Mus musculus: one gene and its partner. The protein of the gene in region 2 purifies or fractionates together with the protein of the main gene of each other region. This does not show direct contact. Links are inferred from orthologs where the notes say so. Each region holds a gene or a part of one and is shown on either strand. Other genes may lie near its edges. The genes, in order: Ddx17 and Ewsr1.

Region 1 (4,530 bases), on a different chromosome or scaffold from region 2:
CCCCCCTTTCTTACCGGAGTCAGTCTTGCTACTTCTGGATGCTCAACATAAAAATTCTTCTCAAATTTAGGGAGTTCACTCAAATCCCACTTCTTTTTTCGTAACCGCTCCCCAGGATTACCAAACTTCTTAGGGGGAAGCCCACTACCACCTCTTGCTCCAAACCTAGAGACACCAGAAAATGTAGATTTGTTAATATCCATCTCATGTGACAGGAAAGGAACAGCATTCCTCCCACCTCAGTTTCCCACCTATTTTAGCTCTCTGACAAAGTTAGTGATACCGACTTTATACTAAGTATAGTTTTAATTGGCACTAGAGATTCTGGATACAATAAAAACTAACGGTCTCTGCTCTTGCAGAGAAGTGGTACTCTTTTAAACTGCAAGACCAAGACTGTGGACATCGAAAAAAATGTACTTCAAGCAAGTCCTTCAAATTTACAACAGCTTCTTAGCCAATTTCCCCACTTATGCTGGGGGCAAAAACTTCTCTGCTACTCTATAAAGCAAACTATTGGGACATCAGGGTCTAGTGTGTTTAGTTTACTCTAAAGAAAGAGCCAGAATAAAAGAGTTGTAATCCTTTCCTCTCCAGCCTTCTTTATGAAATCCTCCTGCCTCAGCCTCCTAAACACTGGGATTATAAATGTGAGTCACCACACCAGGGTCAAATAATACTATTTAGTTACAGGGAGAAAACAAAACAAAAACCCCATCAATGTAGGTTATGGGTATTTGTTTTGTTTTTTAAATAAGATTCAAAGCTAGACATGGTATTGAATAACGTGTAGTCCTAGCACGTGAAAGCTGTGGGCAAGGTCAGAGTTCAAGGGCAGTCTGGTCTATGAGACTTGTGTCAAAACAAACCCCCCTCAGATTTAAATAAGCCTTGTCTTTTAGATACAACAAACAGGTAAGCTAAACAATATAGATATGGCCACTTGCCAAACCTAAGATACAAGAAATTAGAAACTACAATCCTAATATACCCTCTTTGTCTTAATCTATGAGAGTACAGGGCTGTAAAAAAAAAAAAAATCTCATTTCCTTTTTTCTTTTGTTTTTCGAGACAGGGTTTCTTTTATATAGCCTTGGCTGTGCTGGAGGCCTCTCTTTCTGTTTCCAGAGTGCTGGGATTAAAGGCATGAGCCACCATGCTCTGCAAGATCTCATTTCCTTATTTCCTGTAAACCACTAGAAAATTGGAGAAATTTCAAGTTATTTTAAAGAATTTCATTTCAAGACCTGCCAATATTGGGAGAGGTAGCAGGAACCCCACAAGGTAATCCCCTCTTCTGTTAGAACCTGGTGTGGTGGCCTACACCCGTGTTTCTGAACTTGGGGACACTGAGGACACATTCCAGGACAACCGTTAGACTAAGCTTCATGGCCCTGAGACAAACCCACCCTGCAGTGATCATGGCCAGAAATTTTACTGGAATTCTTTGGGTATCTACATTCAGTAGGCAGAATTTGGGTGACTTATTAATACCACTGCTAAACCAGCACAACTAGAAAGAAAAACATTCAACTGAGTAGACCCACCAAGACCTTTAAAAGGCCTCTGGCTTTTCAGTGCAATACTACAGTGAGCCAGGCCTTCTCATTTGACTACTTTACTCCACTTGCAAATGAAGCAACTGATACAAGTCTAAAACACTTCTAGAAATAACCAGTTTTCTTTTGTTTTCAATCTGTAATAATGGCCAAAACCCAATCTTTAGGAGATTTTAAGGCTAAGTCTAATAAGGATAATAATGTGGCTCCTATGTGTTATTTCCACTGGGCTTGCTTATAATCCCAAACTGCTTGGATCTTGAATAATGACCTAGGACAGAATAAAGCTTCTACAATTACGATTCCTTTACAAGGCTTATTCTGATTTTTTTTTCTTTCTACCACTGCCCTCACTTTGAACTCTGCTAACTGTTCTCTTGTTCTGATCTGTGTAGCCCAGGCTAGCTTTGAACTCCAAGCCTGACTCAGTCTCTAGTGCAGGGTGTGCCACCTCAAGGAGTTCTCTTGATTTCAACAGGCTTTGTTAGTTTCAAAAAAAAAAAAAAAAAGTCACCCGCAATTTGGATCTTTTGGAAAGCAACTCCAGCACTTCCCATTCCAATCTGATTCCACTTAACCAAAAATATAACAGAAAGGGAGTAAAACCTAGTTTAAAACCAAAAAAAGGCCTTTTCGACTCCAGTCCCTCTCTAACAGGGATGGCTAACATAGCGGAAAAGAAACGATCTCAAGCAGCTTTTCCTAGATTAAAACTTGAGCATCCGGATCCTCCCCCAGACAGACACTGCGGCCGGCCTGCAGGGATCAAATGATCAGCGAGCGGGCCAAGAGAGGCGACAAGGCTGGCCTGCCACTTCCGAGCCAGGATCGCGGTCCGCAGAGACGTCCGCCCAAGCCTGAGGCCTGCGCGCCGCCGCCATTGTACGGCGCGAGCCTCAGGGCTCTGCGGGCCACCCCGCCCCCCGCCCGCACCTCCCCCTTACCCTCCACGGTCCCTGTCACGATCCCGATCCCCAAAGCCGCCTCCACGCATGGTCCCAAACGGATAAAGATCTGGGAGCGGGGCACGGATGACCGAGCTCGGGAGGGCCTGCGGCTCGGGTCTAGTGATGACCGATGGCGGCGGCGGCGCCTCCGCTGTTGGGGCGGCGGCAGGCGCGGCGCTGTCTCGCTCCGACGCGCTGTCTCCCGTCGCAGACGCCACCGTCGCCGCCTCTCTCGTCGGAGACGGGAGCACAACTCAGAGAATCGGGGTTGTTAGGACAGTCGGGAGGTCTGGTCCCGCTCAAACCGGGCGGTGCCACGGTTGAGGCGTCTCCCTTCCTTCCCAGCAACTGCACAAAATGGCGGCGGCCGCGGAGACCGCTCCAACTTAACGCTACGCACGGCCCAGACGCTACGTAAACAGCGTCTGGAGGGCTCCGCGCGACGCCACGGACATTCTCGGAACCGCTTTACGTCGGTGACGGAGATGGGGGCCCTGGTCGGCCCACCTTAAACAAGGCAATGTGCGCAACCGGCGTAGGGTTCTCGCACCGCCAGCTCTAGAACGTTGGCTGGGGGTGGGGCGAGCCGTCGGCACGACGTCACAGTGTTGGCGTCGTTGGCCCGCCCACTATTGCGGGTCAGCGCAGTCTTCGTAGCGCATTCTGTTTCGAGAATGGACTTTTCCCGGCATTCCGAGCTCAACCCGGCGCTTGAGGCCGGCCTTGTGCAGACATAATGGTAGCACTCCACGTAGCCTTAGTCAGACTTCCGGGTCTCTGGGCAGTAGAACCCAGAGAGTCTTGAGGCCGCTTTCTTGGTTCCAACGTCCCAACGCCGTGTGCCCCAAGCTGGCCACACAGCCCGGCGCCATTTCTTTCCCGTCGCTTTTCGCCGCGCTGGCGCCGCAGCCATGTTGGATGCGTCGTGTCGCTCTCTTTCAGCGGCCAACAGCCTGGCTGGGCCAAAAGACACCCTGTGTTTCCCGCGTTTCTTACTGAGGTGCTATTTTCCGAACAAAGGGTTGGCACCTTTTCCTCTGGCCGTAGTTGACGCAGAGGCCACACCTTCCCAGAGTCCTTTCTGAGGTGGGCGCCTTGGACCTTAGCCACCATGAAAATGGGTGCCTTACCCGGGTGCCCCACTGCAGAAGCGGTGGGTTTGACAGGCTAGGATTTGCAAACCCTATCCGGGGAGGGCAGGCTGGGCTAGGCCGCCGGTGCCACCCAACTCCTAGATTGCTTTCTTTGGCTCGCCATCCCTGCGCACTGCCAAGCCACACAAACTTGGACATAGTTGCTTTACTAAATTGTGGAACTGCTGGGTTCCTTGAGACCTCTAGGCTCATTTCTACCGCCGCGGAGAATGGAGGCCGGCAGACTGGAGGCTTAGTCTTGTCTCATGTCCTGAGTGTTGCTTAGGTTAGGAAAGCCAGGAGAGTAAAGAGGCGTCTTGAGAAACGGTTCATTTGTCACTTCGGCCATGGAGAGCCAGGCATTGTGCTAGTTGCTGGGACACTGGGGATCCAACACGTTCCTTGGCACAGAGCTTTATTCTCTAGAGACGGAGAGGAGACAGATGACAAATGTGTATGTTAGACTTTTGCTGACTTGGAAAAGAAAATGGTGTTGAGGCTGTGGAACAGTGCTTGCTGACCGTGACTGAAGCCCTGGATTCAACACCCAGCACCTCCAAGAACAACAGCAAAAAAACACTAAAGGGAAGGCCATACTTTAATTCCAGCACTCGTGGGTGAATCTCTTGAGTTAAACGCCAGCTTGGTCTACCAAGTGAGTTCCAGAATAGCCAGGGTGACACAAAGAAACCCTCTCTCAAAAACCAACCAACAAACACCAAAGAAACAAAAACAAGAAAGGGGCTAGAGACAAGTTGAGGAAACGGGATGACATCGGGTGCTCTCAGAAGGCATCCCCCATCTATCAAATGACATTTGAGCTGAGGTCTCAACTAAGGTCCTTGCTGCCAAGGGGGAAGATCAATTATGCAAAGCCTGAGTCCAAGAAGA
Region 2 (3,808 bases):
TCAACAAATCTGGGTACAAACATTGGAAAACAGCTGCATTCCTTTTCTGCAGTACATACACCAGGTATTTCAAGACAACCGTTCAGGACATTAGTTAAAAGCTAGGGTTATTAGAAGGGTTGTGTGTGTTCCATCCCAAATCTATTACCCAAAGAGGCTCTCACCTCTGAAAACCATGAAGGGGACTGAAAGCTCTAGTTTCAAAGCCATTCTTTGTTCACCCCAGCCCAACAATGGTTACTGGCAGGGAAAAAAGCAAACTGCCACTTAAATGACATTTCCATGTTTTAGGAGATAGCTTGACCGCAATAGATTGTCCATGGAAATGTGGGATAAATTTCTTATGTCTTTCAGTCCCTTCTTTCCATTGAAAATCCTATGGATGAAACAAAATTAGATAAAAGGAGAAAAGGTTTTGCTCTTACCCCAGTCCACCGCGTCCTCCTCCCCGCCCACCTCTGCTCATGCCTCCACGATCAAATCCCCCTCTTCCCCTGCCCCGGTTATCAGGGCCACTCAAGCTCCGGTTCTCTCCTGGTCCGGAAAATCCTCCAGACTCCTGCCCATAAACACCCATGCTACTGGGGTGGTCCTGTCGGAATGAACCTGAGGAAAGAGTCACATCTGTAAGCCACGGACCAGCATTCACACCAATGCCTGACACCCTTTCTCCTGGACTCATGGAGCTTTCAACATAAGCACTATGCTCAAAGTATTTCTATCACAGGCTCTCTCTCTGTAAGAACTGTTGGCTTATCAAGGCCTTGTATGGCCAGGCTATAAAACTACTTCCAAAGGATTTTTCTTCTGGGAAAATATATTTGTAAGTTTCTGTGCTTCAGATGTCTCCAAAAGCAGCTTCTTTGCACTCTCAACACCAAAAGCAGTGAGTGCCAAGTTACCTAGGGCTCTGGCGTACAAAGGGCGGAATTGTAACTAGTCATCCCAGCAACAAATAAAACAACACACACACACACACACACACACACACACACACACACACACACCCTTAAGAGCCTTAAGAGTCGGAACCTCACTGCAAATGCTGCGCCATCATGCCTGGCTGATGAAATTCAAATTTAAAAGTGCAACAATTGAGGCAGAAATTAAATAGTGACTGAGATACTTTTGGGTTTTTAGTCACTTTTCCAAATGTAAGGATAAGCACTGGGGGTTGGGGGTGTGCTCGCTAGTGCTCTGTGAGCAGGACTCCCTTTGCTCACTCAGTTACACAAAATCAAAACACAGTTTTTACTTGGTTATCAAAATCCACAGTAGCCCTCTATAGCTATCACTTTCTCTTAATGTTTAATTAAGGCAGGTCTTAAAGAATGCCAGCCCTACTCACTGCAGAGCGCCCACCCTGCTGACAGAGCCCCTACTTGGGCATTCAGACTATCATGCAGGATAGGATGTTATAGTGCACACTCACACTCTAGACTCCAGAAGCAAACAGTGGTAACAAGCATTCCCCAGTCTCACAAACTCCAAGCAAAATCACTCATACTTAGTTTTCTCTCTTAGCAACTCACTCTGCTGCCCGTAGCTGCTGCTCTGTTGGCTATATTGACTTGGAGCCTGGCTGTAGGATCCAGTCTGAGGGGGGTAACTAGTAGGAGGCTGCTGCCCATAGCTGCTTTGTTGACCATAGCTACTCTGTTGTCCATAGCTGCTCGGCTGCCCATAGGTGTTCTGCTGAGAGTAACTGCTCTGATCGTAACTAGTCGGCTGTGAAGAGGAGTAGCTGAAAGAAAAAAACAGAATCTTCAGGAAGGAGAAAAATCATGTTATTTCTGCCAAGAATATGAGACATTCACAGGCATCCTAACAATTACTTTCTTTTTACTTTCATTGAGAGGGTCTCACTACATGTAGCCCAGGCTGACTGTCCACCTGCACACAACTCTTCTGCCTCAGTTTCCCGTGTGCTGGATTACAGGTGTGCAACACTGTCTGGCAACACTTTTGGATTTATTTCCAATAATAAAGCTTTAAATGTAAAAGAGAAAATGAAAAGAACCCATGTGAACATTGAGTTGTGGTTCAGAGCTCCTACTTAAAACGTTTTTCAAATACATTTAAGACAAATACAGTTCAGAAGGGCAGACTATGTACATGTGCACTTAAGAGATGACTAATGAAAAGACACGGAAAGTGAGGAGGAAGAAGAGTCAAGTGAGGTATTTAGTTCCCAGAACACCTTCTTTTCTTTTTGTAGTTCTGAGGCTCCAACTTAGAGCCTCACACACTAGGCAAGTGTTCTATTTCAGCCGTCTAATAGGTTGAGTTATGACTATGACTTTCTGAGGAATACCTGCTTGGTAATAGAGTGTAAACATGAGCATATTAAGTATGCCACTCCAAAAATGACATTTTCTTTCAGACTCAAAATCGCTTTGCTATAGTTTCAACCTTTCAAACAAACATATTTGATCCTTGGAAATCTAGGAATAAAGACGAGACTGGTAAGAGACCTTAGGATACTGTATAAAAGATGTTAGGTCTCTGTAAAACTACCCAGCAGGTAATCTATGTACCTCCACATACTACTAAAAATAAACCTTAAAGACTCTTAGCTGGGTGTAGTGGCAAGGCAAGGCTTTAATCCCAGGACTCTTGTCTCCCAAGAGGCAGACAGATCCCTGGGTTCAGGGCCAGCCTGTCCTAAATATCTAGATTGAGTTTTAGGACAGTCAGGACCACACAGAATAACCCTGGCTGGAGTAGGGACACAATGGGACTCTCAATGAACCATAAATATGTTCTACTAAACTAAGTATTTGTCACACCTCTCCACACCTGTCAAGATTCAGTCTATGGGGTTGGAGAGATGGCTCCTCTTCCAGAGGTCCTGAATTTAATTCCTAGCAACCACATGATGGCCCACAACCTGTATGCTCTCTTCTGGTATGTCTGAAGACAGAGTGCACTCATATAAATAAAATAATCTTAACAAAACAAAAGAAGCCTCCATTGAGGAAATGCCTCCATGAGACCCAGCTGTAAGACATTTTCTCAATTAGTGATCAAGAGGGGAGGGCCCAGCCTATTGTGGGTTCTGTAAGAAAGCAAGCTGAGCAAACCAGGGGAAGCAATCCAGTAAGCAGCACCCCTCCATGGCCTCTGCATCAGCTCCGGCCTCCAGTTTCCTGCGCTGTGTGAGTTCCAGTTCTGACTTCCTTGGTGATGAACAGCAAAGTAAGTGTAAGCCGAATAAACCCTTTCCTCCCCTACTTGCTTCTTAGTTATGATGTTTTGTGCAGGACTAGAAACCCTAAAACAGATGCAAACAGAAACTATTTTATATTATAGCCAATTAAACTAACCTTTTAAAACAATTTTGTCAATTCATTTGAAACTTACTTCAAATGAGACACAGCTCAGAAAACTTGCAGCTTTCTAAACTAAAATTGAACATTGAAGCTACAATGGTTAAGACAGAAAATGAAGGACAAGGAAACTTGAGCTGGAGTACTTCATAGGCAAAGTCCTTTCCCAGCAATGAACAAGAGCCCAGATTCCCTCCCCAGCACTACAAACAGTAGTAGGGAGGTCTTGCCCTTCACTTTGCCCATGGTGCCTGTGTTTGAGGAGTAATTGCTATGGTTCTGTGCCAATGGCTCCAAACAGTTCTGTTTCTCATACTTTTAAGTTAGTTATAAGACCAAAACTGAAGTTTTGCGGTCGGTATTTAGAGAACAGTTATTAGCTAGATCCCAAGCACTGCTATGGGAATCCAAGGCTGAGGTGTGACTATTAACTAGGTATGTGGTCAACTATGGGCAAGTCAGAAAACAAATCTTATCCA

The links.
Region 1: the proteins of Ewsr1 (region 2) and Ddx17 purify together in Homo sapiens (affinity purification with mass spectrometry; 3 studies listed by BioGRID, with this or other methods). This does not show direct contact. The link is inferred for Mus musculus from reciprocal best matches to the Homo sapiens genes EWSR1 and DDX17.

What each region holds. Positions count from the first base shown.
Region 1 is NC_000081.6:79,543,692-79,548,221, forward strand, and holds the start of Ddx17 (probable ATP-dependent RNA helicase DDX17), read right to left. Parts: upstream 3,051-4,530; 5' UTR 2,554-3,050; coding exon 2,504-2,553; intron 166-2,503; coding exon 15-165; intron 1-14. UniProt on the Homo sapiens protein: As an RNA helicase, unwinds RNA and alters RNA structures through ATP binding and hydrolysis.
Region 2 is NC_000077.6:5,081,828-5,085,635, forward strand, and holds part of Ewsr1 (RNA-binding protein EWS), read right to left. Parts: intron 1,745-3,808; coding exon 1,533-1,744; intron 607-1,532; coding exon 426-606; coding exon of another isoform or gene 422-425; exon of another isoform or gene 1-421. UniProt on the Homo sapiens protein: Binds to ssRNA containing the consensus sequence 5'-AGGUAA-3'. Might normally function as a transcriptional repressor. EWS-fusion-proteins (EFPS) may play a role in the tumorigenic process.